Macaca mulatta: one gene and its partners. The protein of the gene in region 1 interacts with the protein of each later gene in a pairwise test. Links are inferred from orthologs where the notes say so. Each region holds a gene or a part of one and is shown in the gene's direction. Other genes may lie near its edges.

Region 1 (4,015 bases):
TCGCAGCACACAACCAGTGCTTTATATATGTTCACTGAAAAAAGGACACTAGCTTGACTCCTGGTCCTGCTGAGGGATTTGAAGGTGAACCCTGCCCTTCGTAGACCCGGGTATCCAGCTAGGGGGCTGGGGTTAGAGGTCCAGAGAGGTGGGCAGGGCCAGCCTTGCCTGGAGGCAGGGTTTGGGGCCAAGACACCCACCGTAAACCTCCTCCTGTATCCTCACCTCACAACCATTCCCCAGCTCTGGGCGCCTTAGCAAGGGTGAAAGGCTTGCCCGTGGACACTCGGAACTGGGACTTGAGCCCCCTCGACCTCACTTTCTTCAATCTATGAAACGGGCAGTGCACCACCAGGCCCTGCCTACCTTACTGGGAAGCCGGGAGGGCAGAATGGAAAGACAAGGACGAAGATTCTTCCGGGTGGCGGATAGAGTAGGGGGTCCCAGGATCTGTCTGGTTCGAACTCAGCTGGGGACTTTGCAAAGATACTCAATTTCCTTGGACCTCAGTTTCCCCTTCTGTAGAAACAAGGGTATTGGATGAGGGATGATTAAAGGGCGTGCTCCACCTCGACCGTTACCGGAGACGGGGTCTCGGGGCCAGAAACGGCGTTCGAGGCCTCCCACCTAGCCGACCGGCCTCGGGGCCCTTCCCCGCTGGCCCGGGCCACGCGTCCCGGGTACTCACTGCAGAGCGCGCCCAGCAACCCCGAAACGCCGGTCGGGGACCCGGGCTGGGAGTCGGGACTCTAGCTCCCGGGCGAGATCGGGGAACCCTGAATCCATTCCGCGCACACCCGGCCGCGTGACCCCGGCCGACCGGCTGGCGCGCCACCCATTCCCCGCGGCCCGCGGATTAGTCAGCAGTTGTTCTAGTCCGGGTCCCTTCCCCCAGCCCTCCCGCCGATCTCCGTCTGCCTGCAGGGCAGACTCTTCAGCGACGGTCCCTAGAGCCAGCGGACGGAACCATTCCAAACAACCTAGCCTCGTGAAGAGAGCCTCTCCGGTTTCACACTGAGACCCGCTCACCGGCGCTCTGGCCCCTTAGGTGCTATTTTGGCCCGAGTGTCACGTCGGGCGCTCTTTAGAGAGGATTGGGACAAGGGTTGCGCACGCGAAGAACGAGAAAGCGGTGGTTCATCCCTCCTGACCCCACCCCCGTGGCCTGGCCTGATGGTCGCGCCCGGGGTTGCGGGATTTGCGCCTGCGCATTGCGGCGCCTAGAGGGAAAGCGAGAGGGAGACGGACGTTGAGAGAACGAGGAGGAAGGAGAGAAAATGGCGTCCACGGGTGAGTATGGTGGAACTGCGGTCGCGCTGGCGGTAGCCGGAACGCCCAAACTGGGGGTCGTTCGTCTCTGGGCTTGGCTGGGAAGACTGAGTGGAGTTGCCGAGAGGGGTTTGAGGCACCCGCCGCGACCCGACGAGCTCGGGGATCCGCGTTCCTCTCCCCTCCCCCCACCGGGCGGGCCGGTTCTGGAATCTTCCGGCGCCCGCGGCGCGCAGGGGGCTCGCTGCGGCGGTGGCGCGCGGGGCCCGCTTTGGCCTCCATTGTGTGGCGGTCCTCGCGCCCTGCGCTCCGGGCCTCCCGCCACGTGGGCGGGGCCTGCGGCCTTCGAGGCCCTGCGTGAAGCGGAGGATTTGGCCAGGCCTCGAGCCGGTCACTGTGAAACCGCCGGGGAGGCCGCAGGCTGCTATCCCTGTGAGGCCTCCCTCCGCGTTTTCAGGGTTTCCCGAGAAACCAGGGAAAAAAGCAAAGAAAGATACCGTGGATTTGTGGGCCGAGGGGTGCCGGCCTATGAGCGGGAGCCCCGTCATCTTTAAGGCCCAGTCGGCTGGGGCGTCTGGCGCTGCCGAACTGCCCCCTCGGCGTCTTCCAGCCCCAAGCCGAACTTCTGCCCTCCTGGGCTTTAGACAGAATGTGCTTCCCTCCTCCAGGGCCCCCAGTTTGCCACTTTTTTGGGTTTCTCTATTTTTATCGTTATTTATTAATTCACGCCCTCCCCTCCCCCAAAACCAATTAAGTGGCTTCCCAGGGCCCTTTTTCTGCAAACGCCGAGGGACATCCGTTGTATAATAAGACCAGCCTGGATCGAGAGACGAGAATGCTACCAGGAAGGTATTTCTGGCCTCTCTGACCTAGGAGGAACAAAAGGCCGAGCCTGCATTTGAATTATATTTCAGCAGTGGTCTCGCACGTTTATTCGCCTGCGTTAGGCCGGCAGGCCTGTTGATTTCGTAGGTCGACAGAGGTGAGGGAAAAGAGGCCAGTAGAGGCGATCTTAAAGGCACTTGAAAGCAAGCCCCGGATGGGAACTCCTAAATGGGAGTAGAGTGGTCATTGATGGAAGGAGCATTTAAGAGTGTCGCCTAGCCACCACCTGCAGTTCGCAAGCTGTGGGTACACTAACCCGCGGAAATTGGCAGGCTGGAGCATTTTTGCCTCTGGGGGTATTCTCAGGCCACCTGATTCCAGGCCTTAGAGACAGTGGGAGAAGATGAGAGGGAAGACGGGAAAAGCTCTGGACCCTCCAGAGTTTTTAGAGTCCAGAATCCAGCAACTTAAGGACAGTTTAAGAATTCACCCCATCTGTGTGGTCAGTAAACAGGTAAGTGTTGGGTGTTCTTGCTGGGATACCAAAGAAGGCCTGTAGAAGAGAGGACTCTGAAATACCACAGCTAAACCTCCTGGTGGAAAGTGGTTTCCTAGGTGCCCTATCCACCCTCTTCTCCTCTGCAAAAGCCTGAAAAGGCATAACGTGTGCGTTGACATTTTTGCATGGCCGGACATGTCTTTTTTTCAGTCAACTTTGTTCAAACCTTGTTCACTAGTAACTACCATGTGCTTGTACTGTATTAGAATTACAGTTGTGGTTTCTGTTGACACAAAGTAAACACATTAGGCCTGGCTGGGGGGCCTTCAGAGAGTCACATAAGTAATCTGGGCCTTAGTTTCCTTTCCTGTAAAATACAGAAGTTAGGCTAGACCTGTTAAGCTTTTGAGCCTTTCTGACCTTCCTGCATAACCATTCCACAAATTTGTCCCATGCTGACTTCAACTCAGGTAGTGTGAAGCAACTTCCATAGTGACTGCTGTAAAGTGTTAAAGCATTGCCTTGGGTTAATAATAATAGAGGTTTTCTCTCCTCGTGTGTATCTCATGTAGAAAAGACTCGCTGCAGTCTAGAACCCCCACCCCTCAATCACAGTGAAGTGATTTTTAGTGAAGTCTTTGGCTCACTTTTGGGGGTTAAAAACAAACACGGTTGTTGAATAATCTGACCAGTTTGTAATTGTATTAGGTTGGTGCAAAAGTAATTGTAGTTTTGCCATTTTAATGACAAAAACCGCAATTACTTTTGCACCAACCTAATAGCTTGTTTGAGGTCCAGTGATGTTTGTGTGCTCTAGGAAGATAAACGTAAGTTCATGAAACAAATTTGCTACCTTCCATAGCCCACCAGTTAGTATAGGGCCGAATCCTTTGGTTTCTCACTGTTAAGAGGTCATTAGTTGTTCCATATCAGCTTTGCCAGTTTTATGTTTTACATAACTGCTATTGTGTAAAAGTCGTCTTGCAAACTGTACTTACATGTCGGTGATTTAGAATCATTTCTCAAAGACCTTAACAAAACGTGGATTAAAATATTTGATATTGAATGATTCATTGCTGTGTATATTTTGTATATGCCACGTGGAAGAAATGATTTGCATTTAGTTTTAATGTCACAGAGAGTATGACTTGTAGTGCTATTGAAAATGCCTTTAAGATTGCCATGAACAAATTATTTTTTCATTATAGGTAGCCTTTGGGCAGTTGATTTGATCCTCTTGGTGATTCAGGGTTTTGAGTTACGAGTGTGTACAAAGGAAAGAAAGTAGTCCACTAACGTATAGAGGGGTAGACAGATAAGCCAACGTGAAGAGATGGATTCAGCAAAGCTCTCTCAGGCCGCCCGAGGGATTGTGAGGCTGGCTTTGGATTGCGTGAAGTGGATGCAATAAAGAGCTGTCAA
Region 2 (3,500 bases), on another chromosome or scaffold:
AACCCAGGAGGCAGAGGTTGTGGTGAGCCGAGAGTGCTCCACTGTACTCCAGCCTGGACAACAGAGCAAGACTGTGTCTCAAAAAAGAAAGAAAAGTTAATGATTAAATTATTTAGGGGAAAATACTGTGCAATTCTGTTTAATAAGTCACATTTTAATTTTTTCTTTTGGAAATATTAGCAAGAAGGCTCACTTTGTGCTCAACATTGCCTGAATAATTTATTGCAAGGAGAATATTTTAGCCCTGTGGAATTATCCTCAATTGCACATCAGCTGGATGAGGAGGAGAGGATGAGAATGGCAGAAGGAGGAGTTACTAGTGAAGATTATCGCACGTTTTTACAGGTACTGATGTTAAACTCACTAAGTCACATTTTCTTTTTTTTTTTTTTTGAGACGGAGTCTTGCCCTGTTGTCCAGGCTGGAGTGCAATGGCGCAATCTCAGCTCACTGCAACCTCCGCCTCCTGGGTTCAAGCAATTCTCCTGCCTCAGCCTCCCAAGTAGCTGGGATTACAGGCACACGCCACTATGCCTGGCTAATTTTTTGTATCTTTGTAAGAGACGGGGTTTCACCATGTTGGTCAGGTTGGTCTGGAACTCCTGATCTCGTGATCCACCTGCCTCAGCCTCCCAAAGTGCTGGGATTATAGGTGTGAGCCACCACACCCGGCTTACATTTCTTTTAAAAACGTAGATACTATTTAGAAAAGGATGTGCCATTCTTCCTATAGGGATCTGACTGGTGAATTATAACTGCACTGTTAACTTTGGAAATGGAAATGCAAAGATGTTATTTTAAATATGCACGCTAATGACAGTTTGTATCCTTCTTTCCCCACCCCCACGCGTGCTTCAACTACCTGTCAAAATTAACAGCAGCCTTCTGGAAATATGGATGACAGTGGTTTTTTCTCTATTCAGGTAAGTAGTCACAAGCATCTACTATGTGTTGCTTACATCCCAGGCCCCGTTTCACAGCCTTTCAATAGTCACTATAACAAGGCGACCTTCAGAAGTTCTTCTAATAGATCATGTCTACAGAGTATAAGATTATACTCTAGATCACCAGATTGTGATCCACCTGCCTCAGCCTTCCAAAGTGCTAGGATTACAGGCATGAGCCACCATGCCCGGCCAACTAGAGTACTAGATTTTTATATAGATAAACATGAAAGGATTGTAGAATCTTCATATTAGAGTGGGGCATTTAAAAATTCCTTTTTGAGAAAGATTATTTAATTTGCATCTGGATGCTAATAATAACCTTAATTCTGGCCAGGCATGGTGGCTCACACCTGTAATCCCAGCACTTTGGGAGGGCGAGGTGGGCGGACCTCAGGGTCAGGAGATCAAGACCATCCTGGCCAACATGGTGAAACCCTGTCTCTACTAAAAATACAAAAATTAGCTGGGCGTGGTGATGCAAGCCTGTAATCCCAGCTACTCTGGAGACTGAGGCAGGAGAATCGCTTGAACCAGGGAGTCAGAGGTTGCAGTGAGCCAAGATCGCACCACTGCACTCCAGCCTGGTGACAGAGCAAGACTCTGTCTCAAAGAAAACCAAATACCCTTAATTATAATAAGTCCCAATGTCTCAAACTTACCATTTGTTGGGTAAACTTAAGAAAATGCAGTACCTTGCTACCATCCTTTTAAATCAGCCTACCAGACTGGATTTCCTTATTATGGTCTGTGGCTTTTGATTTTTCTCTTTGAGTTCTTTGGTGGTTATATATATGTACTTGAAAGATTCTTTTATCTGCATGTCTTTCATTCTTTTCTGACACTGTGAGTTGTATCCAGAGGTCTTTCAGAACCTCTCCTGAGCGACCTATCTCTGCAGATACCTTTGTTTGTATTTCTCTTGTACTGCCCTCCTGGACTCCTCCTCATCCACCAGCATTTCCATCTAGTGCTTTACCGTGCCACTGTTAACAGGTAATGGCTACTGCAGGGCTGGAATCAGAGGTCAGAGTAGGCCCAGCACTTGGCGTTTCCTATTTGTGCCTTGCTGCTCTTGGTACCCACTGCCTTGCACTCACTTTCTGTCTTTGCCGGTACCTGGTTGACTTGCTTCTTTGTTGGCTACCTTGGAGGGTAGATAGTGAATTTTCAGAAATTTCCCATTTTTTGTCAGACAGATTGAAATAATCAGGTTTGCATTTTGTTTTTTTCTACAAGTGGCAAGCCCATGACCCTGGAAGTCTGATACCTATGGAAACTTCAGTTTAAGTGCCCAGGGAGAACTTATTTTGGTAGACACGATTTCTGACATTGCAAGTAGTAAGTTGAATATACATTTTCTAAAGTAGCACCCACGGCAGCCAAATTACCAGATGTATATAGTAGACTAGTTTTAAGAATAGCACTTATGGGTAGAATATACATACATCTGGATTTTTGAGACAGTTTTATGTAGGAATTGTGTGGTTTTCTGGAACATCTCAGAGACCTGGTATGAAAAGCACTCTTCTAATATATATGTGTATGTTTTTTATGGATTTAGTGATATATCTATACACACACACACTTTTGAAAACCTATAGCCGGCTGGGCGTGGTGACTCATGCCTGTAATCCCAGTACTTTGGGAGGCCGAGGCGGGCACATCACAAGGTCAGGAGTTTGAGACCAGCCTGGCCAACAAGGTGAAACCCTGTCTCTACTAAAAATACAAAAATTAGCTGGGTGTGGTGGCGCATGCTTGTAATCCCAGCTACTCGGGAGCCTGAGGTAGGAGAATCACTTGAACTCAGGAGGCAGAGGTTGCAGTGAGCCGAGATCATGCCACTGTACTTCAGCCTAGGCAACAGAGCAAGACTCTTTGTCTTAAAAAAAAAAAACAAAAAAAAAAACAAAAAAAAACCTGTAGCCTTCTAGAGAAATTTATATATGAGGTACACAACTAACATAGCTATACTTCTTAAAGTGTTTACACAACTGACATAGCTATACTTCTTCAATTTGGAATGGAGTGGTTTGGCTTATGAAAAGTTACTATTTTTCTTAACAGGTTATAAGCAATGCCTTGAAAGTTTGGGGTTTAGAACTAATCCTGTTCAACAGTCCAGAGTATCAGAGGCTCAGGATCGATCCTATGTAAGATTTTGTTTTGCATTTCATACATTTCTTTTCCCAAATTTGATTTTTAAAGATATTTCTTAAAGAAGAGAAATATATTTGGAATACTTGTGTTTTGATGTTCCCTGTTTCATTCCCTCAGACTTTCCTATTTCACCTTTGTGATGTCCATGAGCATCTGCCCTGTAGCCTTCCTGGCACCCCAGTGTCTGTGGCAGCACAGAGCTGCCCCGTAAGTGGTGCGTGAGGCCATCTTTTGGCCCGGCATCACTAAGCTGCTGCAGAGACGTTCATATGGTTGTGTGATCTTTTAAAAACATCAGTGACACTTAACTGTAAATCTAATCTTAAATTATCACAAATTTTATATAATGTTTGCCAGTAGACAACATAAGTATGAATTCAATATTTCAAGTTA
Region 3 (3,500 bases), on another chromosome or scaffold:
TTGCAGTGGCCACTGAATGGGATTCCCAGCAGGATACCATCAAGTACTACACCATGCACCTGGTAACAAGTTCACAGTGCGAATCTGGACCCTGAGACCCACCCAGGGCTTCCTAGGGTAGATCCCTTACCAAATTCTGACAAGGCCCTGGGGGATGGTCCTTTGCCTACCTGGGCCCCAGGTGTTCACCTCCTCTCGAGTCACTAATGTGCTAAACTCTTTCCTTGTCTGGCCTGGCTACTTGCAGTTCTCTCTCCTAGGAACACTGTGCTGGATGACTGGTTTCTCCTTTGGTTTCAGGACAGATGTCACCTTCACTGACTCCCCAGCTCTCTTATTTTCTATGACAGCAGCTGGCCATTTGTTTTGTCAGCACTTAGACAATTTATAATTGTTTTATGTTTGCACATTTATTGTCTGTCTGTCTCTACTGCCTGGTAAGCAACAGAAAGGCAGGAGCCATGTCTGTTTTACTCACCAGTATCTGGACAGCCACTAGCAGGTAGTTTAGTTGGTACTTAATAAATATTAGTTGACTATAAGACCCACTGGAGGCAGATGGGTGAGGTGAGGAAGACTCCCTATAGAACCAGAGCCCCTCGTCCACACCAAAGTGGCTCATCTAGGCACCAAGGCTGCCTGGGGAAGGAAGGGCCCAGCCAGACTCATTGGTCCAGCCTCTGCAGCTTCTAAACTGTAACCTTGGGCAGGTTGCTGCCCCTTTCACAGCCCCGTATTCCCCATCTCCTAAAGATGAGTGATAATAGTACCCACCTCACAGAGCCATGGTCAGGATGAGATGAGATGATGCAAGAAAGCCCTTGGCATGGTCCCCAGCACTGACTGGGCACTGAGTCAGTGTAGGAGTCAGCTGCTGTCATCCCAGTCGCTGCTGTGCTCAACCTTTGCAAACTCACATGGGCCTCCTGCCAACATCACAGCCTGCTGAGGTGCTGGCCTAATCCTTGACAACCTAGTGAAATTGGGGTGATTGGGGCTACAAACGAATAGGGTAACCTAAGCAGCCTGTTATTGACAAGGTAAGTCTGGAAAAAAATAATATATATATATTTTTTTTTAAACAGAGTCTCGCTCTGTTGCCCAGGCTGGAGTGCAATGGTGCAATCCCAGCTCACTGCAACCTCCGCCTCCTGGATTCAAGCAATTCTCCCGTCTCAGCCTCCCAAGTAGCTGCGATTACAGGCGCCCACCACCATGCCTGGCTAATTTTTGTATTTTTAATAAAAATGGGGTTTCACCATGTTGGCCAGGCTGGTCTTGAACTCCTGACCTCAGGTGATCTACCCATCTCAGCCTCCCAAAGTGTTGGGATTACAGGCATGAGCCACCACACTTGGCCAAAACAAATAATCTTAGTCCTGATTTGCATGGTCTGTTTCCCTCCTTTCTAAGGTGTAAGGGAGGCAGCTGGTAAAGGTTTCCCGTCAGATTTGCGCTCCATCACTGATACGTGTCTTATTAACTGTATTTGATGATGTACTTAACCTAACCTGTCTGGGCCTCAGTTTTCACATCTCAGATGGGCATAATAATAGTACCTATTCCAAAGGGTTGTTGTGAGGATTAAATACACTAGAACCTGGTAATAATGTGACTGTGGGGAGGTTCACTAATCATGGGGCTGCTGCAAGCTTCCCTCAAGTCCTGTGAGCATCGACAGAAAGCATTTGGCATGGAGCCTGGCTGTGGCACACTCTCAGTAGCTGTGCTGCTGCTCCGGTAGTGCAGATGCCTCTGGTGGAGGGCTGTGCTGTGGTGCTATCTGCTATGTGTCAGATGAGGTGTCCTCAGGAAAGCAGGGCTTTTGTCTGAGCCCCACAGGCAGTGACAGGGTGGTTTTTGCCTTTGATTCAGACCACATTGTGCAACACATCCTTGGACAACCCAACCCAGAGAAACAAGGATCAGCTGATCCGGGCAGCCGTGAAGTTTCTGGACACTGACACCATCTGGTAATGGACATTTAGATGGGCATTCCCCTTGGATTGAGACAGTCCCTGGGGCTATTTTTCCTGATTTGTCCAGATGGTTATCAGTGGAAGAAGAAACCCTCTCCATTTATTGCAAGGACAGGGAAGGTGGCCCACTTGACTTTGGCATTTGGCTGCTCTGTAGCCCCTTAGGAGGAGGACTGCTCAGGCTACAATGGTGTTAGAACATGGCCACCCCTCTTCTCTAGCCTAGAAGCTGCTCCTTAGGCTGGGAGGGTGGTTATGCAGCTCTTGCAGGTGCCGTGACCACAGGCCCCTTAGGCCTGGGGGCGCCTGTGACCTTAAACTTCTGCCCACTGACACTTTCTCAGGTAGACATCCTTGGCACTATGGATGCTGATAAGTAGGAGTGTCCTTCTCCAGTTCTGAATTCTCCTCTGTGTCTATATATCTTGGCTAATTGGTCAGTGTTGCCGAAGGAAAGTTGAGAAACAATGGAAATGATTGAGCAGCACGGTGCTTGCTAGCCCAAGTGCTCTAGTATCCTGAGTCATCTCACGATGACACAGGAAGTCAGCACTGATGACTGGAGGCATGCTTTCGAAGTGGGTGGCCCATAGCTAGTGGGAAAGCCCGCTCCATTTATATTAGGTTCACTTGACTTCAGGGAGCAGAAACCCATTCAATCTAGCTCAGACAAAAAGAGGATTCTTGAAAACTATACAGGGATCCTGACAGGAAATGAAGGACGATCGGGCCACCAGGAAAGGGAGCTATAAGATCCAATGTCAGAGCTCCTCCCTGTGCCCTATTGGGGTGAGCGGAAGGTGAGGGAGGAAAGGTTGGCTGCCCATCTGCCCCTCCCAGCATAACTCATGACCTCTCTTCCCCACGTTGCTTACACAAGATGGTGGATTTCCATAATGCCCACTTGGGTTCCCATCCCATAAAACCCTGCAGCTCAGCTCCCCTCAGCTGACTCATGCCTGTGTCTCTTGGTCAAACAAATGACACAGCCTGGCCTCTAGCTTGGTCCCATCAGGTCTGGCATCTGTGCCAGCAGCTGCATCTGTAGCCAGGAGGTGGATGGGCTTGTGAGGTGTAAACAGGCTATTTTGGTCTGTGACCAGGGGCACAGTCTCTTGGAGGGGGTGAGGGTAGAGATGCAAAGACTGAGCATCTGGCACAGCATTCCCATTCAGCATCCAGGTCAAGCGGGTGTGGACCCAGGGTTGCAGTTAGTAGATTGGATCTGCTTTAGAATGACAGTAACATAGCGCAGCAAGCTTGGACCTGTCAAATATTTGGGGGCATTTAGGGTAGTGGTTCTCAAACTCAGGCTTACATTAGAATCCCCTAGAGGGCTTGTTAAAACAGATTGCTGGGCCCCACTTCCAGAAGTTCTGATTCTATAGGGATGCAGCCTGAGAATGTGTATTTCTAATAAGTTCCCAGGTGATGGTGGTGCCAGGGCCACACTTTGAGAACCACTGCTTTAGGGGAAAAGACTTGTGGGACTGGGATGGTGGTGGTGAAATTTTTGTTGTT
Region 4 (3,981 bases), on another chromosome or scaffold:
AACCTGCAAAACTGCTTTGCCACATGGAGACCAAGCACCCTGCGTTAAAAGACAAGCCTTTGGAGTTTTTTTGTTTTGTTAAAACAAACAAACAAACAAACAAAAAAACAGAAACCATGAAAACATGAACACAAAGAACACATAGAAGCAATTATTGAAGGCCACCACGTCATCAAATGTGTCTGCACTGACAGCATCAGTATATATTACAATGTAACAATAATAGAAATAAAGTGCACAATACATACAATATGCTTGAATCATCCTGAAACCGTCTGCCACTCGACCCTGGTCCATGGAAAAATCCTCTTCCGTGAAACTGGTCCCTGGTGCCAAAAAGGTTGGGGACCACCGGTTTATCCAGGGTCATCCAGGTTGGAGTAGGGTCAGGAGATATGGGGAAATTTAGGTCAAAGAATTCAAAGTTACAAACATGTAGGATGAACAAATGGGAAGACCTAATGTACAACATGAGGGCTATAGTTAATGATCGTGGTATTCAGGATTTATGCTAAATGAGTAAATTAGAGCTGCTCTTGCCCCAAGGGGGGAAATGTGTAATTATAGGAGTTGATGGATATGTCATACGCATAACTTAAATACAGACAATAAAAACTATTTTAGTTTAAAAAGGAACAATATTTATTAAAAAATAAGGTGAGCTCTTAAAAACATTTAAATAACTGCCTAAAAAAATAAAAAATAATATCACATAATTTAATAGAAGGAAAGAAAGAGCAAGACAGCAAGAAAGAAAAGGCACCATAAAAAAAAACAATTTTGACCACTCCTCATTTGTAGTCTAAGCTGCCTCTGCTTCCTTGCGTTGAAAAGCCACGGGCTTCCGAGGGATGGAGGTCAAAGTCAGAGTAAAGAAAGTTCCCGGGGGAGGCCACTCCCCAGCTGATGACTTTCCAGTTCCAGTTAGTGACAGAGTCCCAGTTCCTCTCCTTAACCACCGGTCAAAAGTCTCTGGAGTCTCTCCAATGAGCAAGAAAGCAAGTCGGGGGTAGGGGAGGGGCCTCACAACTGGTGGTGGGTGCAGTCCCTCCTCCAGCTTCTTCATCCTGCAATAGTCCCGCGGGTCCCCCGGCGCGAACGCGGGAACCAGGAAAAGGAAACCGCGTTGTGTACGTAAGATCCAGGAAACTAAACCAGTAGCCGCGGCTGTTGGCGCAAGGGTTACTCGCAGACCCTGTTCCGGCTGATTTCCGAGAAGGTTGCGCAGTAGCCGTGCCTTGCAGTCTAGAGGCGCAGGAGAGGAAGCCACCGCCTGACCCCGGCTCTCTAGACCTCGGCTCTCTCGGGAGCGGAAACAGCGGCAGCCACAGGTGCGCGAGCGGCTTTCTCTGCCGCCTCCCCGGGGCTCGGGCGCGAGAACTGCGCGGAGCCTGCGCTGGGGCCAGGGCCGGGATCAGGTGTGGGGGCCAACTTACGGGGAACGGGCGCGAGGGCCAGCCGGTTGTGTTTGCTGCTCTGGGGGTGGAGGATGTGGGGTGAAGGCTGGGGCCAGAAATGCAAGAGACCTCTGAAAGGGACCCTGTAAGTGGAGCAGATGCACGGCAAGGGGCCCCAGGCGGCCCAGCGGCACCTGGGCTCACCCAGAATCATTCGAATGAAAAGGGGTGTCCTGCCTGAAAACGCCTCGCGGGGCTCGGCTTCCCCTTAGCTACACTGCTCTACAGGCAGAGAGCGGCGCTGAATCCTGGGCAGAGACTGGGCTCGGGAGCATGTGCCAGCATAGTGGGGCTATTAGAAGGGACGGTTAATACAGCCTGCAAGCTGGCATTTATCAGTAAGTATTCACTGAAGTCCGCCTGGAGCCCACATCTATGCTAAACCCTCTACAATACTAGCTTGGAAAAGATAGCGGCGGTATCTAGCACGGTTCCTAAGACCATTAGCTCCAGTCAGGCTCCCCGACTTGAAATTTGGCCTCTACTGCTTCACATCTGTGGATTGTCAGCCACTTTCTTAATATATATTCTTTCCATTGCCTCATCTCTGAAATTGTGTAACTATTAAAAGAGCTACAGAGTATTATATGTGTTAATGTAAAGTTCTTAGAGCAGTGCCTGGCACTACAGAAAGTACTCAGTGAAAGTGAGCTTTTATTATTTTAAATATTTGACAAAGTTCCTGCTTCTCCAAGCTGACTCTCCGGTTCCCATGTGGTTTCATTCATGCACTGTTATTCCTGGAAGTCTTGGCATGGCCACTTCCCAGTTCCAGGAACAGGCAGTCGTTGTTTTTTTTCTGGCTTATCACATTGAGATACATGGTTACTACAAGTGACACTTAAACGTGTCAGGCAGTTTGGGGCCTCCTTTCTTGAACTTTTCCTAAGAGCAAACTTTTCCCTTAATGCCACCCTGTTTACAACCATAGTAGGGCTTTGAACAACGAGAAAATGCAGGGAAATGAAAGACATATAAAGGGAAATGAATGGATTTCTGCAGTTGGATAGCAAAGTGGCATGTGAAATAGCTGGTTTATAGATCAAACTGCCTTTAGATCTGTAAAGGAGCTTAGAGTACAGGTGGAGAGACATCAAATGTGTGCGAGCAGACGCTTATGTACCTCTCCGTCTTCATCTCTAAGAATGTCTCCCTCTTCTGCTCTGTAACCTCACTGGTCTTCCTTTCCTTGAATGAGGCATGTTCCTCCAGCTCAGGAATTCTATCTATGAAGTTCCCTGTCTCTATAATGCCCTCCAACACCCCACCCACCATACCTCCGTAGACTAGTTGATTTGAGATTTCCTTCAGCTCCCAGTCTGACTTTTCTTAAACCCCCTACCACTGTTTAAGTTAGTGTCCTGTAACCCTTTCTTGTAGCAACATTAATTTTATTGATAGCACTTAGAGTGTTTATAATAATCTATTACATTCTTAATTGTCTGTCTCCCTAGTGTCTAGGTATTGTGCTCTAGTGCCTGGTATAGTGCTTTGCATGCTCTATGCCTTCAATTAATTCCTTAAAAACCACACCAGCTTTATATTTAGTGAATATTTATATAGGAAGTATTTCTATATGTATATATGTGTATCTGTGTATATACACACTCTATAGCACTACCCTGAATAGTGCTAAATTAAAAAGCCAAAACACTTTTTAGTTAATCAGAACTAACAGTTGCACTCTTCAGTTTTCCATATGTTCTTTTAATAAGTCATTAGAAAAAAATGATGTCTCCATATGTTGTCTGCTGCTGTAGCAGAATACCTGAGACTTGGTAATTTATAAAGGACAGAAATTTATTTCTTACAGTTCTGGAGACTAGGAAGTCCAACATAATCATGTGTTGCTTAAAGACAGGAATACATTCTGAGAAATGCATCATGAGGCAATTTGGTGGTTGTGAGAACATCATAGAATTTACTTACACAATCCTGGATGGTATAGCCAGCCTTCTATTTAGGCTGGGGTGGTGGCGTGGGGGGTGTTGAGGAGAGTCAGATTGAGAGCTGAAGGAAGTCTCAAATCAATTAGTCTATAGACGTGTGTGTGTGTGTGTGTGTGTGTGTGTGTGTGTGTAGTGGTGGAGGGCATTATAGACAGAGGGAACTTCACAGGTAGAAGTCCTGGGCTGGGTGTGTGTGTGTGTGTGTGTGTGTGTGTGTGTGTGTAGTGGTGGAGGGCATTATAGACAGAGGGAACTTCACAGGTAGAAGTCCTGGGCTGGGTGTGTGTGTGTGTGTGTGTGTGTGTGTGTGTGTGTGTGTGTGTGTAGTGGTGGAGGGCATTATAGACAGAGGGAACTTCACAGGTAGAAGTCCTGGGCTGGGGGTGTGTGTGTGTGTGTGTGTGTGTGTGTGTGTGTGTGTGTGTAGTGGTGGAGGGCATTATAGACAGAGGGAACTTCACAGGTAGAAGTCCTGGGCTGGGGGTGTGTGTGTGTGTGTGTGTGTGTGTGTGTGTGTGTGTGTAGTGGTGGAGGGCATTATAGACAGAGGGAACTTCACAGGTAGAAGTCCTGGG
Region 5 (4,029 bases), on another chromosome or scaffold:
AATGGGCGTTTCACCATGTTGGCCAGACTGGTGTCGAACTCCTGACTTCAAGTGATCCGCCCGCCTCCGCCTCCCAAAGTGCTGGGATTACAGGCGTGAGCCACTGCGCCCGAATCCTATCGGAAATTTTTAAGTCTCAGGCGTTTGCCAGCGGCACGCCAGAGAGTATAGCCTGCACCGAGGCCCAGAAACCAAAGAGCGAGCTCATTCCGGGATTGGAGAGGAGTGTGAGCGGAGGGAAGCAGAGGGATCAGAGAGAGGAGGGGCAGGACCCACGCATTCGGCCCTTTGCATTCAGCCTCATTCAACTAGGAACTTTTCCTGCAAATCAAGCAAAGCTTCCCGGAGGAAGTGGTGCCTAAGCTGCGCTCTGATTCTCGTTTAGAAGCTGACAAGACAAAGAGAGGTGGGCGGTCCTGGCAGGGGGAGGGACTCGGCAAAAACCAAGTACCTTGAGAGGGGTTGATGGGTTTTAAAAACTTTGAATGATTATGTCAAAGGCTAGGGATTTAATGTGTTGACTGCGGACTCCTATTCCTCACTTGCTTGGGGACCCCAGCGATGCCATTCCTCTCTCTGGGCCTCTCACTGATTCAGTTTTTCTCCCAGGTAATGAGCACAAGCTCCCTTTTTCCTCGAGACTCCCCCCGGGTTGGGAGGATCCACCGAGTGGACTAGGCGTGATCGTTCCTTTGAGCCAATCGTTGGTGCCTGAAGCCCCGCCTTCTTCCCCACCCGTGGGCCAATTGTCGTGTTCTCCTTGAGACTGGCCGCTTGGCGAGGGTGAAAGGCCGCGTGACGTCACTTCCGGATAAACCAATGGCAGCGATTAAGAGGCGGGTCGTTTTGGTGATGGACAGTTGTTTCAAGACGCCCCTTTAGCGCGGGGCTCCCCGGGAAGCTTTGAGGCGGTGCTGGGGGTAAAGGGGCGGGCATTCCTCGTGGATTTTGCCCAATCACCAGTCGCGCTTCTTGCAATAGACGGGCAGTTTTCCCCATCTCGGGTCGACTTGAGGGGGCGGGATTCTGGACGCCAGTGTTGGCAAACCCCTGACCTATGATGGACGTATTCTCCAGCCAATTATCAGACGGTATTCTCAGACGGGCCGCCTCCATTGCCAATGAAATCTTCCAGCGGGGTCGCGGTAGGCGGGCCGTGGACCCTCTGGTATAAGGCGGTCCCGGGGGAGTGAGGAGAAAGGGGGGGTCTTGGCGGCTGGAGGAGGAGTAGTTGCGGGTGAAGATGGCGGCAGCCGAGGCCGCGAACTGCATCATGGAGGTGAGCGCTTGGAGCGCCGCCGTGGGCGGGGGTCGGCTTTGGGTCGATGTTTCACGCCTCTGTGGTGGGGAAAGGGCTCTAAGTTGGCGACATGGGGTTGGAGGTCCCCCGCCGCACACGGGGGCGCCGCACGCTCCACATCCGGGGATATCGTTTGAGGTGACGGCTCCCTAGCTTTCAAGGGCCTTCGGCATCCGGCCTAGCGGAGGGTCTTATCCCCCCTCCCACGTGGAGGAGGGCTGGGGGCGCTTCCGGCCAGGCCCCCACGTGGCCGCGGCGCGGTGGGTGGGGAGGGGGTGTGCCGAGTCCGGTGGCCCGGCGGGCTCCACGTGCGGGACAAAGGCCCCGCCCCCGGCCGGGGAGGGGCGCCCGGGGGGGCGGGGAGGGGGTCCGACCCTCCTGAGGCCCCCAGCCCTCCTACCCAGGGACCCGGGCACACGTCGTGGGGTGGGATCGACCTGGGGCCCTCCACGATGTAGAGTGTCTTTTGGGAGGAGCAGTGCCTTTTACAACCTCCTTCCGAGCTCCAGGGGCATCTATTGGGATATCGGCCCTGGATTTGTGCGTTCTGGATTAGGGACTGGAGGAAAACCAAGAATGGGGCCCCCCTGACCCCATTTCCCCTCCTAGAGTTCTCCCCCTCACCCAGGGCTTTAGGTGTTGGGGGATGGGGCATGCCCCTGTGACCTCCCTCTGGGTGGTGGTGGGGCATCTAGATGGAGATTTTCCCACTAATAGGCGCCGTGCACCCCCTTGTGGCCATTTCTGGGTGTGTGGGAGGGACATCTTTTTCATGGGGCGTGTCCTGAAGCCCACCTCCCGTCGGATTTCTTCCTGGAGGGCGGAGGGAGGAGGGTACGTCCGCTGGGAAGGAGTTGTGGGAAATACGTAGGCTGAGAGCTTTACCCTCTGCTGGAGCGCTTTCTCTCTCCTGGGCCTTTGTGAGGGCGGGAGATGACCTCCCCCTTCCTGAAGCCCTGTGTAGGGGTCCTGAGCCCCGGGGTCCTGAGGGTGGGTGCCTGAAATGGTTTCAAGTGAGGTTTGGTTCTCGTGCAGCCATGTGGGGGAGGTTTCAGTCTTGCGTTTTAAGCCTTCGGGCTGGGGTTGTCTGGCAGTAGTTTTCAGTGGTGGTGATAAATGGGCCCCAGCGGGAAACCCCCGCAGCACCTTTCTTATAGGCATCCCCGCTGGCTTGGGAGAGCTGGGGGGAGGGTGTTTGGAGCCTAGTAGGTCATGGCCAGTGACGTGGCCCTTCTTGGAGTGGTCACATCTGGAAGAGATGTAATCTGATGGGGCCTCTGTCCTTCCACCCCTTTACCCATGGCATTGACTGGGGGGGCAGGTCAGCTGTAAGCTGTCAGGATGCAGCTCCCAGGGGTCACTGTAATGACTTCGCACCCTCTTGGCTGTCTCCTGCACCTGGGGCTCTGTGGGCGGAGGAAATAACTTTCCCAGAGGTGGCCTCAGGCTTGGCCGCACCTGGAAGTCTTCAGGACCTGGGATGGGTGTCTGAAATGGGGGCGATGGGCTGACTCCCCAAGCTACTTTTTTTTTTTTTTTTTTTTTTTTTTTTTGAGACGGAGTCTTAATCTGTCACCAAGGCTGGAGTGCAATGGCTTGATCTCGGCTCATTGCAACCTCCGCTTCCTGGGTTCAAGCGATTCTCCTGCCTCAGCCTCTTGAATAGCTGGGATGACAGGCACCCGCCACCAGGCCCAGCTAATTTTTGTATTTTTAGTAGAGATGGGGATTCACCATGTTGGTCAGGCCGGTCTCAAACTCCTGACCTAAGGTGACCCACCCGCCTCTGCCTCCCAAACTGCTGGGATTACAGGTGTGAGCCACCGCGCCCCCAAGCCACTTTCTGGAGCCCGCTCATTCTTAAGAGGGTCCAGGAGCTGCCCATCCTCCATGGGACCCTACCTTCGTGGGCAGAGGGTCATAAGGGAGCGGGTTGGTTCCAGCTGGTTTTGTTTGGGGCTCCTGAGTCCAAGGCAGGAGCTGGGGGCTGGGGTACTAGCTCTGGGGAAGTGCCCGTGTGCCACACCTCTATTCTGGAATCCTCTCAGACATGAGACTGGTTTGCAGAGGTGGCAGATGCCCTGTGGGCATACCCTGCCAGCCTCGTTCCCTCCTGCTATTCATGGCACCCTGGGATAGGGGTGTGTGTGTCAGGAAGTGTCACCTAATCTGGGGGAGATTAGGTGATGAGAGGGAGCGACAGCTGGCGGGGGTGGGTGCCAGTTCCCCTGGCCTGGATGGGGGAGGTGTGTGGTCAGCTGCCTGGCCAGAGAGGGGCAACAAGGGGGCAGGCCACCATCTCTCCAGCCACAGCTGGGATAGGAGACCCCCTTTCTTCTCCCCTCACTTTTCCCATCCCTTTCTTAAACACCCCACCTCATTACTTGCCCTCTTTGCCACCACTCCCCGCCAAGAAGGAGAATTGCTGGAAACCCCACCCCCCCCACCCCCCCCCACCCCGCCAGAGCCCAGGTCCCCGCGCCCAGCCCTCCCGCAGCCACTCCCAGTAGCTAATCCTTTCTCCCTGTTACTCTCTCCTAGAATTTTGTAGCCACCTTGGCTAATGGGATGAGCCTCCAGCCGCCTCTTGAAGAAGTAAATATCCTTTTGTGAGACCCCTTCCCACCCCGACCTCCACATCAATATATTTTGCCACACATCTGGCCCTTTCTTGAGGTCTAACCATACCCCTCTTGCTTCAAACCAGTTTACTGCAGGACCCCAAACAC
Region 6 (3,500 bases), on another chromosome or scaffold:
CAAAAATACAAAAATTAGCCAGGAGTGGTGGTGGACACCTGTAGTCGCAGCTACTTGGGAGGCTGAGGCATGAGAATCAGTTGAACTCGAGACGCGGAGATCGCGCCACTGCACTCCAGCCTGGGCGACAGAGTGAAACTCCGTCTCAAAGGAAAAACAAAAAGTTCCTGACCTTTCCACACAGGTCCTGGTGGTCGGCGGACTCCAGAGTGGTTCTAGCTTTCTGTTAATATCACATAGTTTTCCTTATTGAAGTTATGCTAAGGGTCATGTGCCTGGGACTGTGTTCTGAGATTCTACCACCATGATTCCTACAGTGACTTTTCCTTTCAGACAAGCAAGCAGTTGGCAGCAGCCTTCCAAGAGGAGTTCACAGTGCGAGAGGACCTGATGGGACTGGCAATTGGGACTCATGGTGCCAACATCCAGCAGGCCCGAAAAGTACCTGGGGTGACTGCCATTGAGCTGGGTGAAGAGACCTGCACTTTCCGCATCTATGGGGAGGTCAGCAAAGGATGTCTTTCTTCTGGGTCTCTTAGTGGATAGAGGGAAGAGAGGCCGAAGTAGAAAATAAGCCTCAGGCTGGGCACAGTGGCTCACACCTGTCATCTCAGCACCTTGGGAGGCTGAAGTGGGAGGATCACTTGAGCCTAGGAGTTTGAGACCAGCCTGTGCAATATAGTGAGACCCAATCTCTACAAAAATTTAAAAATTAGCTGGAAGTGGTGGTGCGTACCTATAGTCCCAGGTACTTGGGAGGCTGAAGTGGGAAGATGGAGGGGAGGATCGCTTGAGCCTGGGAGTTTGAGACCAACCTGGGCAACATAGAGAGACCCTGTCTTTACCCCCGAAGAAAACCAAAAATCGTTAACTGAGCATGGTGGCATGCATCTGTGGCCCCAGCTACTTGGCTACTTGGGAGGCTGAGGCAGGAGGATCACTTGAGCCTAGAAAGTCGAGGCTGCAATACACCATGATGGTGCCACTGAACCAACTTGGGCAATATAGTCAATAGAGTGAGACCAAAAAATAACAAAAATAGACCAGATCTGTGTCGCCCAAGCTTGTCTTTAACTCCTGGCCTCAAGCAGTCCTCCCTTAGCCTCCCAAACTGTTGAGATTACAGGTGTGAGCCACTGTGGCTGGCCAAGGTCCTCTGTTTTTTTGTTTTTTTTGTTTTTTTAAAGTTATTTATTTGTTTAATTTATTTCTTTATGAGACGGAGTCTAACTCACTCTGTTGCCCGGGCTGGAGTGTAGTGGCATAATCTCAGCTTATTGCAATGTCCACCTCCTGGGTTCAAGAAATTCTTCTGCCTCAGCCTCCTGAGTAGCTGGGATGACAGACGTGAGCCACCATGCTTGGCTGATTTTTTGTATTTTTAGTAGAGATAGCGTTTCACCATATCGCCCAGGCTAGTCTTGAACTCCTGACCTCAAGTTATCCGCCTGCCTCAGCCTCCTAAAGTGCTGGGATTACAGGCACGAGCCACCTCACCCAGCTGGTCTTCTGTTTTAGTAACAACTCCCCGCTGTTCTTCCTTTAGACTCCCGAGGCTTGCCGACAGGCCCGAAGCTACCTGGAGTTTTCTGAGGACTCAGTGCAAGTGCCCAGGAACCTGGTTGGTGAGTTGGTGGCGTGTATATACAGTTAGAGGTCAGAATCAAGATTCTCTACAGTGATTCTGAGCTTGTATCCAGGATTGGCACCTCCCTGTGGACTCTCAGTTTCACAAGGACAGAGAAACAGTCTGTAATGGGAGTGATAAAAATGAAAGAATAAATTTCTAGGGATTGTAACATTTTGTCCTGTAAAAACACATCAGAAAACTAGAAGCAGGAGAATGAAGTAAATGGAATCCATATAAAGAAAATGAGGCTGGAAGACGGTTTATCAGCTTTATTCTTATTTCCTAAAAAAAAAAAAAAAAAAAAAAAAAAGGCTTAATTCCTCCTTTACTTATTCCAGGCAAAGTGATTGGAAAGAACGGGAAAGTGATCCAGGAGATTGTGGATAAATCTGGTGTGGTGAGGGTTCGAGTGGAAGGGGATAATGACAAGAAGAACCCCAGGGAGGAGGTATGGGTACGGGGCAAGTGGGCATAGAGATTGGTTTCCAGAAGTAAATGGGATTGTCCTCTTAGGGCTGGGATTGTCCTTTGAGAGGGTGGAGTACGGAAACTTGTTTAACCCTAGTAGATTTAGAGTCCAGAATGATCCCACTGGGCAGGTTCCCCTAGGACACTGGGCGGGGTTAATCCTTCCATTTCATTTTCCTTTCTGATCCATCGTCTCTGCTCTCTGCTCTCCAGGGAATGGTTCCCTTCATTTTTGTTGGCACCCGAGAGAACATCAGCAATGCCCAGGCTTTGCTGGAGTATCACCTTTCCTACCTGCAGGTACCCAGGCTGGGAGAGGACAGAGCTGGGTGTGGAAAGGGTTTGAACTAAGACTGCTGTGGGGGTCAACTCAGGAATTTTGGTGCTCTGTTTGTCTCTCCATGTAGAACAGAAAACATTTGTGGAAATTTGGGGCTATAGGGTTGGGTCCCAGAATTTTCCTTGTTTAGCCAGCGTCTTCCTTCTCCTTGCATTCCTAAGAGATTAGATATAGAGGGACAGTCAGGGTGGAGAAGCATGAAGAAAGGCACTGATCTTGTTTCTCCTTTCGCTTCTTCTTCCGTCTTTTACCCAACCAGGAGGTAGAGCAGCTTCGCTTGGAGAGGTTGCAAATTGATGAGCAGCTTCGGCAGATTGGGCTGGGCTTTCGCCCTCCTGGGAGTGGGCGGGGCAGCGGTGGCAGTGACAAGGCTGGATATAGCACCGATGAGAGCTCCTCCTCCTCCCTCCATGCGACTCGAACCTATGGGGGCAGCTATGGGGGCCGTGGCCGTGGCCGGAGGACAGGCGGTCCTGCCTATGGTGAGACAGCTTGGGAACAGGAGGCAGGGAGTGGCAGGGCTTGTGGGTAGAGGCAGAGGTCTGGATGGAAGTTTGGGGAAATCTGGGATGGAGATGATAAAGAAGTGATTGATTGGCTGGGGGACTTGTGAGTGAGAGGGAGAATTCTTCCATTTTGGGGAATGTGATGGATCCTGAGGTAGGACGAATGGCCGTGAATAAATCCCACTGTGTTCTTCAGGCCCCAGCTCAGATGTGTCTACAGCTTCAGAGACTGAGTCAGAGAAGAGAGAGGAACCCAACCGAGCTGGGCCTGGCGACAGGGATCCCCCAACCCGAGGGGAAGAAAGCCGGAGGCGGCCGATTGGGGGCCGGGGTAGGGGACCCCCACCTGCCCCCCGGCCCACTTCGAGATATAATTCTTCATCTATTAGCTCAGGTACCAGACAGCTGGGTTCATGAATATGGGCCAAAACAAAAGATGATGGGCACCTGAATGCCACCTTCTCCTCTTCTTCCTCTGACCAGTGCTGAAGGATCCAGACAGTAATCCCTACAGCCTATTGGACACATCTGAACCAGAGCCCCCGGTTGATTCAGA
Region 7 (3,500 bases), on another chromosome or scaffold:
CTCCACCTTGAGTTCAGTGTGGACCTTCCTCCTCTTCACCCTGCAGGCCGCCGGCTCTCCAGATCCTGCTGACCAACACCAAAGTCCCTCGCAATACCAGGACCCTCGTGGCTGGCGTCAGAAACAGGCTGCTCAAGGTGACTCTTGTTCCATTCCCGGGCAGGTTTCAGGGTGGCCAGGACACAGTTACATCTGGATTTTCCAGGTTTCCCTCTGGCTGATGGATTCTAGGGGGTGTGGTGGGCCTTGAGGCCCCTTAGAGAGGTGGTTTTGGCAGAAAGGAAGGTACCATCCATACCTGTAGCCTGGCCAGGAAAACAACAGTGATCGGGCTCGTTAGACACACTGACTTTGCAGCTGGGAAGGCAAAAACCAGGCCCAGAAGAGAGGCGGTTTCCCCAGAGGATGGGCGCAGGCTGTGGGAACACCTCCTCCCTCCACCCCACTGCTGGGGCAGCTGTGCTGCATCTGCCTCCCCCAGGCCTCACCAGCCATTCCTTCTTTTTTTCTCTAGTTCCCAGAGATCGTGGCCCCACTCCTGACCTCGATAGATGCCATCTCCCTGGAGTGTGAGCGTGTGCTGGGAGAGATGGGGGAGGCTCCAGCCCCAGAGCAGTACCTCGTACTGGAAGTAAGAGGCTGTCTGCAGGAACCAGGGTTATTGAGTCCACACCACTGTCCAAGGCAGTGGCTCTGCAATCTGGCTGTGCTCAGAATCCCCTGGAAGCCAGCACATAGAGGCCAGGCCCTGCCTCTGGCCTGTGCTCTCAGAAGCCCTTGGCCTGGGCCCAGGTCTGTGTGTGCCACACAAGCGTATGTTATTTTCAGGCCTCTTCCCAGGTGATTCTGAGTAATTGGGAGAGAGCAGGGAAGGAGGTCAGGGCCTGGCTCGTGCTAAGTGCAGTGGAACAGGTTTGGGGTCACGTCTAAGGAGCTCCGGCCCACGTAGGTAGATGGGGATGTGGCTGATAACAGAGCTCTGTCGGTGCAGGCGTGACTTCTTACTTGGTCCTTCTCCTGCTTCATGGGTGCATTCAACAACTACTTGTCAACTGCCTGCTTTGGGTCAGACAGGTCCTAAAATTGTTTTTTCATCATCATAACCCCATCCACTGCCATTTGCATAATTCTAGTGTACAGGTTGTGACCTCGTACTTTGGGTGTGGTTAGGCCTGTGTGTGAATCCCAGCTCTACTTCTGCTGGATGTGTGGCCTCGCTGGAGTGTCTTAAGAATGCTCAGATTAGACGGGCACAGTGGCTCACCTGTAATATAGCACTTTGGGAGGCCAAGGCGGGTGGATCGCTTAAGCCCAGGAGTTCGAGACCAGGCTGGGCAACACGGTGAAACGCTGTCTCTACAAAAAATACAAAAGTTAGCCAGACATGGTGGTGCGTGCCAATAGTCCCAGCTACTCGAGAGGCTGTGGCAGGAGGATCACTTGAGCCCAGGAGTTCAAGTTTGTACCCTGGGCGACAGAGTGAGACCTTGTCTCACAAAAAAAAGAACACTTGGAGTCTCATGGGTGACACACAAGCACAATGTCTGGTGTGCCATGAGCTTAGGGAAGCAAAGGGTCCAGGCTGCCCCTGGACACAGTCTAGCTGGCCTGGTGAATATGGGCTGATGTTAGCCAGCTGGCTGCCCTTGCGGAGTGAGAGGATCGAGTGGTCCCCAGCTGCCGGGGCTCTGCAGCAGCCATCAGTGAAGGGACAGGAGGGGACCCCTTTGAGAGGGGTGTGCGATCTCCATGTCACCACAGTCCCCCCTACTCTGTAGTCATTGCCTGGTGCCTCCCGGTCCCCCTGTGGGCATTCGAGTCTGTAGCCCCTGTGCTGAGTGGAAGCTGCCACTAAAAGCTTTTTACAAATCATTTTTTTCACTTGATCCTCACACCCACCTCCCTGTGAAGTAGGTGTCTTACCCCTATTTCACAGATGTCAAAACTGAGGTCTGAAGGAGGACTTCCCCCAAGGTTATCCGGCTAGTAAGTGGCCGAGCCAGGGGTCCAGCTGACAGACTTGTCTGTCCCTTTATTCAACAGATCTGTCGTGAGCACCTACTATGTGCCAGGGTAGAGCCTCCATTGAATTCCTGCGTTTCTGCCCTCATTCCCTCAGTCTTTGTCTTCCTAGCTCTCGATTCCTTCCACGTAGAGAGGAGGGAGCGCAGTCCTCCCCGAGTAGGAAATTAATAATGATAGAATACTGCCTAAAATACACCCTGTCGAGCCCCTGGAGAATGCCGCAGAACAGCACGTTGATTATACATTGTGTGTATTTTTGGCTGTGGCAGCCGCTGAAATGTGCAACTCGGCTGCTGGACAGCTTTGCACTCAAACCAGCGAACTGTTCTCCTGTGTCACAACCTGTCATCTGATCCTTGACAGATTTTGGATCAGAATGTGACAGGTGTCTGGAACCTGCCTCGGCAACGTGACACCTGGCGCTCAGGCGCAGAGAGCGGCCCCCAGAAGTCTTCTCTCACATCCAGCCCATCGGGCTGCTGAGAGGCACCCGGGGCTGCCACCAGGCCATCAGGCCTGTCAGCTCATTTGTCAAAAGTGCTGAGCTTGGCGCGGGGCGCGGTATGAGGCAGGCTGTCGGGGGGGCCACCCCAACCCTGCCCAACTGGCCGTCCCCACGCGGGACAGCCAGGTAGGCCTCCGCGGAGATGCCTCAGTGATTGGCAGCTCCTGGTATACAGGCGATGCAGGTGCCCCGGAACAGAGCTTCACACAGAAGTGAGGAAAATCAGGAGTGCTCTCAGAGGCAGGGTAGACAGGAGCTTCACGTCAGGCAGACCCGCCTTCCCGTGCCAGCTTGGTACCTACTAGCCCAGCGATCGTGGGCAAGTCACTTCTCTGAGCCTCTGTTTCCCCTTTTGTAAAGTGGGGATGATGGTAAGGTAACCATAAAAGTACTAATAGCACATATCTTGTGCCAGGCATTGAACAGAAAACTCACCTTGTTTCATCTCAGGGCAAAGAAGCAGATACTTTTTTTTTTTTTTTTTTTTTTTTTGAGAAAGAGTCATCTTGCTCTGTTGCCCAGGCTGGAGTGCAGTGGCGCAATCTCGGTTCATTGCATCTTCCACCTCCCAGGTTCAAATGATCCTCATGCCTCAGCCTCCTGCCTAGCTGGGATTACAGGCATGCGCCAACATACCTGGCTAAGTTTTGTATGTTTAGTAGAGACGGGGTTTCGCCATGTTGGCCAGGCTGGTCTCGAACTCCTGACCTCAAGTGATCCACCCGCCTCAACCTCCCAAAGTGCTGGGATTAAAGGCATGAGCCACCACACCCTGCTGAGGCAGATACTCTTATGACCCTGGTTTACAAGCGGGAGACAGACCCAGCGCAGAAGACCTTGCCCGAGGACACACGACCAAGAAGGGGCAGCACCGAGACTCAAACACAGGCCTACTTGACTCCAAACCCCGTGGTTTTTACTTCCTGAAGGCTGGGACTGTGGCTGGGCGTCCATCCTTAGAGCCCCAGCA

What was found.
Region 2: the proteins of EWSR1 (region 1) and ATXN3 interact in binary tests that used the Homo sapiens proteins (3 or more experiments, as listed by UniProt). The link is inferred for Macaca mulatta from reciprocal best matches to the Homo sapiens genes EWSR1 and ATXN3.
Region 3: the proteins of EWSR1 (region 1) and ATPAF2 interact in binary tests that used the Homo sapiens proteins (3 or more experiments, as listed by UniProt). The two-hybrid records come from large-scale screens. The link is inferred for Macaca mulatta from reciprocal best matches to the Homo sapiens genes EWSR1 and ATPAF2.
Region 4: the proteins of EWSR1 (region 1) and PLSCR1 interact in binary tests that used the Homo sapiens proteins (3 or more experiments, as listed by UniProt). The two-hybrid records come from large-scale screens. The link is inferred for Macaca mulatta from reciprocal best matches to the Homo sapiens genes EWSR1 and PLSCR1.
Region 5: the proteins of EWSR1 (region 1) and PRMT1 interact in a two-hybrid assay, tested with the Homo sapiens proteins (2 studies listed by BioGRID and IntAct). The link is inferred for Macaca mulatta from reciprocal best matches to the Homo sapiens genes EWSR1 and PRMT1.
Region 6: the proteins of EWSR1 (region 1) and FXR2 interact in a two-hybrid assay, tested with the Homo sapiens proteins (2 studies listed by BioGRID and IntAct). The link is inferred for Macaca mulatta from reciprocal best matches to the Homo sapiens genes EWSR1 and FXR2.
Region 7: the proteins of EWSR1 (region 1) and MVK interact in a two-hybrid assay, tested with the Homo sapiens proteins (2 studies listed by BioGRID and IntAct). The two-hybrid records come from large-scale screens. The link is inferred for Macaca mulatta from reciprocal best matches to the Homo sapiens genes EWSR1 and MVK.

Annotation. Positions count from the first base shown.
Region 1 is NC_133415.1:22,286,369-22,290,383, reverse strand, and holds the start of EWSR1 (RNA-binding protein EWS), read left to right. Parts: upstream 1-1,215; 5' UTR 1,216-1,277; coding exon 1,278-1,290; exon of another isoform or gene 1,291-1,296; coding exon of another isoform or gene 1,297-1,322; exon of another isoform or gene 1,323-3,277; intron 3,278-3,356; exon of another isoform or gene 3,357-4,015. UniProt on the Homo sapiens protein: Binds to ssRNA containing the consensus sequence 5'-AGGUAA-3'. Might normally function as a transcriptional repressor. EWS-fusion-proteins (EFPS) may play a role in the tumorigenic process.
Region 2 is NC_133412.1:165,340,782-165,344,281, reverse strand, and holds part of ATXN3 (ataxin-3), read left to right. Parts: intron 1-180; coding exon 181-345; intron 346-878; coding exon 879-923; intron 924-3,014; coding exon 3,015-3,100; intron 3,101-3,500. UniProt on the Homo sapiens protein: Deubiquitinating enzyme involved in protein homeostasis maintenance, transcription, cytoskeleton regulation, myogenesis and degradation of misfolded chaperone substrates.
Region 3 is NC_133421.1:19,594,443-19,597,942, reverse strand, and holds part of ATPAF2 (ATP synthase mitochondrial F1 complex assembly factor 2), read left to right. Parts: coding exon 1-62; intron 63-1,875; coding exon 1,876-1,973; intron 1,974-3,500. UniProt on the Homo sapiens protein: Plays a role in the assembly of the F1 component of the mitochondrial ATP synthase (ATPase).
Region 4 is NC_133407.1:49,526,796-49,530,776, reverse strand, and holds the start of PLSCR1 (phospholipid scramblase 1), read left to right. Parts: upstream 1-1,181; 5' UTR 1,182-1,331; intron 1,332-3,981. UniProt on the Homo sapiens protein: Catalyzes calcium-induced ATP-independent rapid bidirectional and non-specific movement of phospholipids (lipid scrambling or lipid flip-flop) between the inner and outer leaflet of the plasma membrane resulting in collapse of the phospholipid asymmetry which leads to phosphatidylserine externalization on the cell surface.
Region 5 is NC_133424.1:62,129,659-62,133,687, forward strand, and holds the start of PRMT1 (protein arginine N-methyltransferase 1), read left to right. Parts: upstream 1-1,229; 5' UTR 1,230-1,243; coding exon 1,244-1,279; intron 1,280-3,841; coding exon 3,842-3,895; exon of another isoform or gene 3,896-3,899; intron 3,900-4,029. UniProt on the Homo sapiens protein: Arginine methyltransferase that methylates (mono and asymmetric dimethylation) the guanidino nitrogens of arginyl residues present in proteins such as ESR1, histone H2, H3 and H4, FMR1, ILF3, HNRNPA1, HNRNPD, NFATC2IP, SUPT5H, TAF15, EWS, HABP4, SERBP1, RBM15, FOXO1, CHTOP, MAP3K5/ASK1, MICU1 and NPRL2.
Region 6 is NC_133421.1:9,081,700-9,085,199, reverse strand, and holds part of FXR2 (RNA-binding protein FXR2), read left to right. Parts: intron 1-333; coding exon 334-504; intron 505-1,546; coding exon 1,547-1,625; intron 1,626-1,884; exon of another isoform or gene 1,885-1,968; coding exon 1,969-2,078; exon of another isoform or gene 2,079-2,311; coding exon 2,312-2,398; exon of another isoform or gene 2,399-2,697; coding exon 2,698-2,920; exon of another isoform or gene 2,921-3,140; coding exon 3,141-3,338; exon of another isoform or gene 3,339-3,427; coding exon 3,428-3,500. UniProt on the Homo sapiens protein: mRNA-binding protein that acts as a regulator of mRNAs translation and/or stability, and which is required for adult hippocampal neurogenesis. Specifically binds to AU-rich elements (AREs) in the 3'-UTR of target mRNAs.
Region 7 is NC_133416.1:116,753,281-116,756,780, forward strand, and holds part of MVK (mevalonate kinase), read left to right. Parts: intron 1-46; coding exon 47-137; intron 138-514; coding exon 515-631; intron 632-3,500. UniProt on the Homo sapiens protein: Catalyzes the phosphorylation of mevalonate to mevalonate 5-phosphate, a key step in isoprenoid and cholesterol biosynthesis.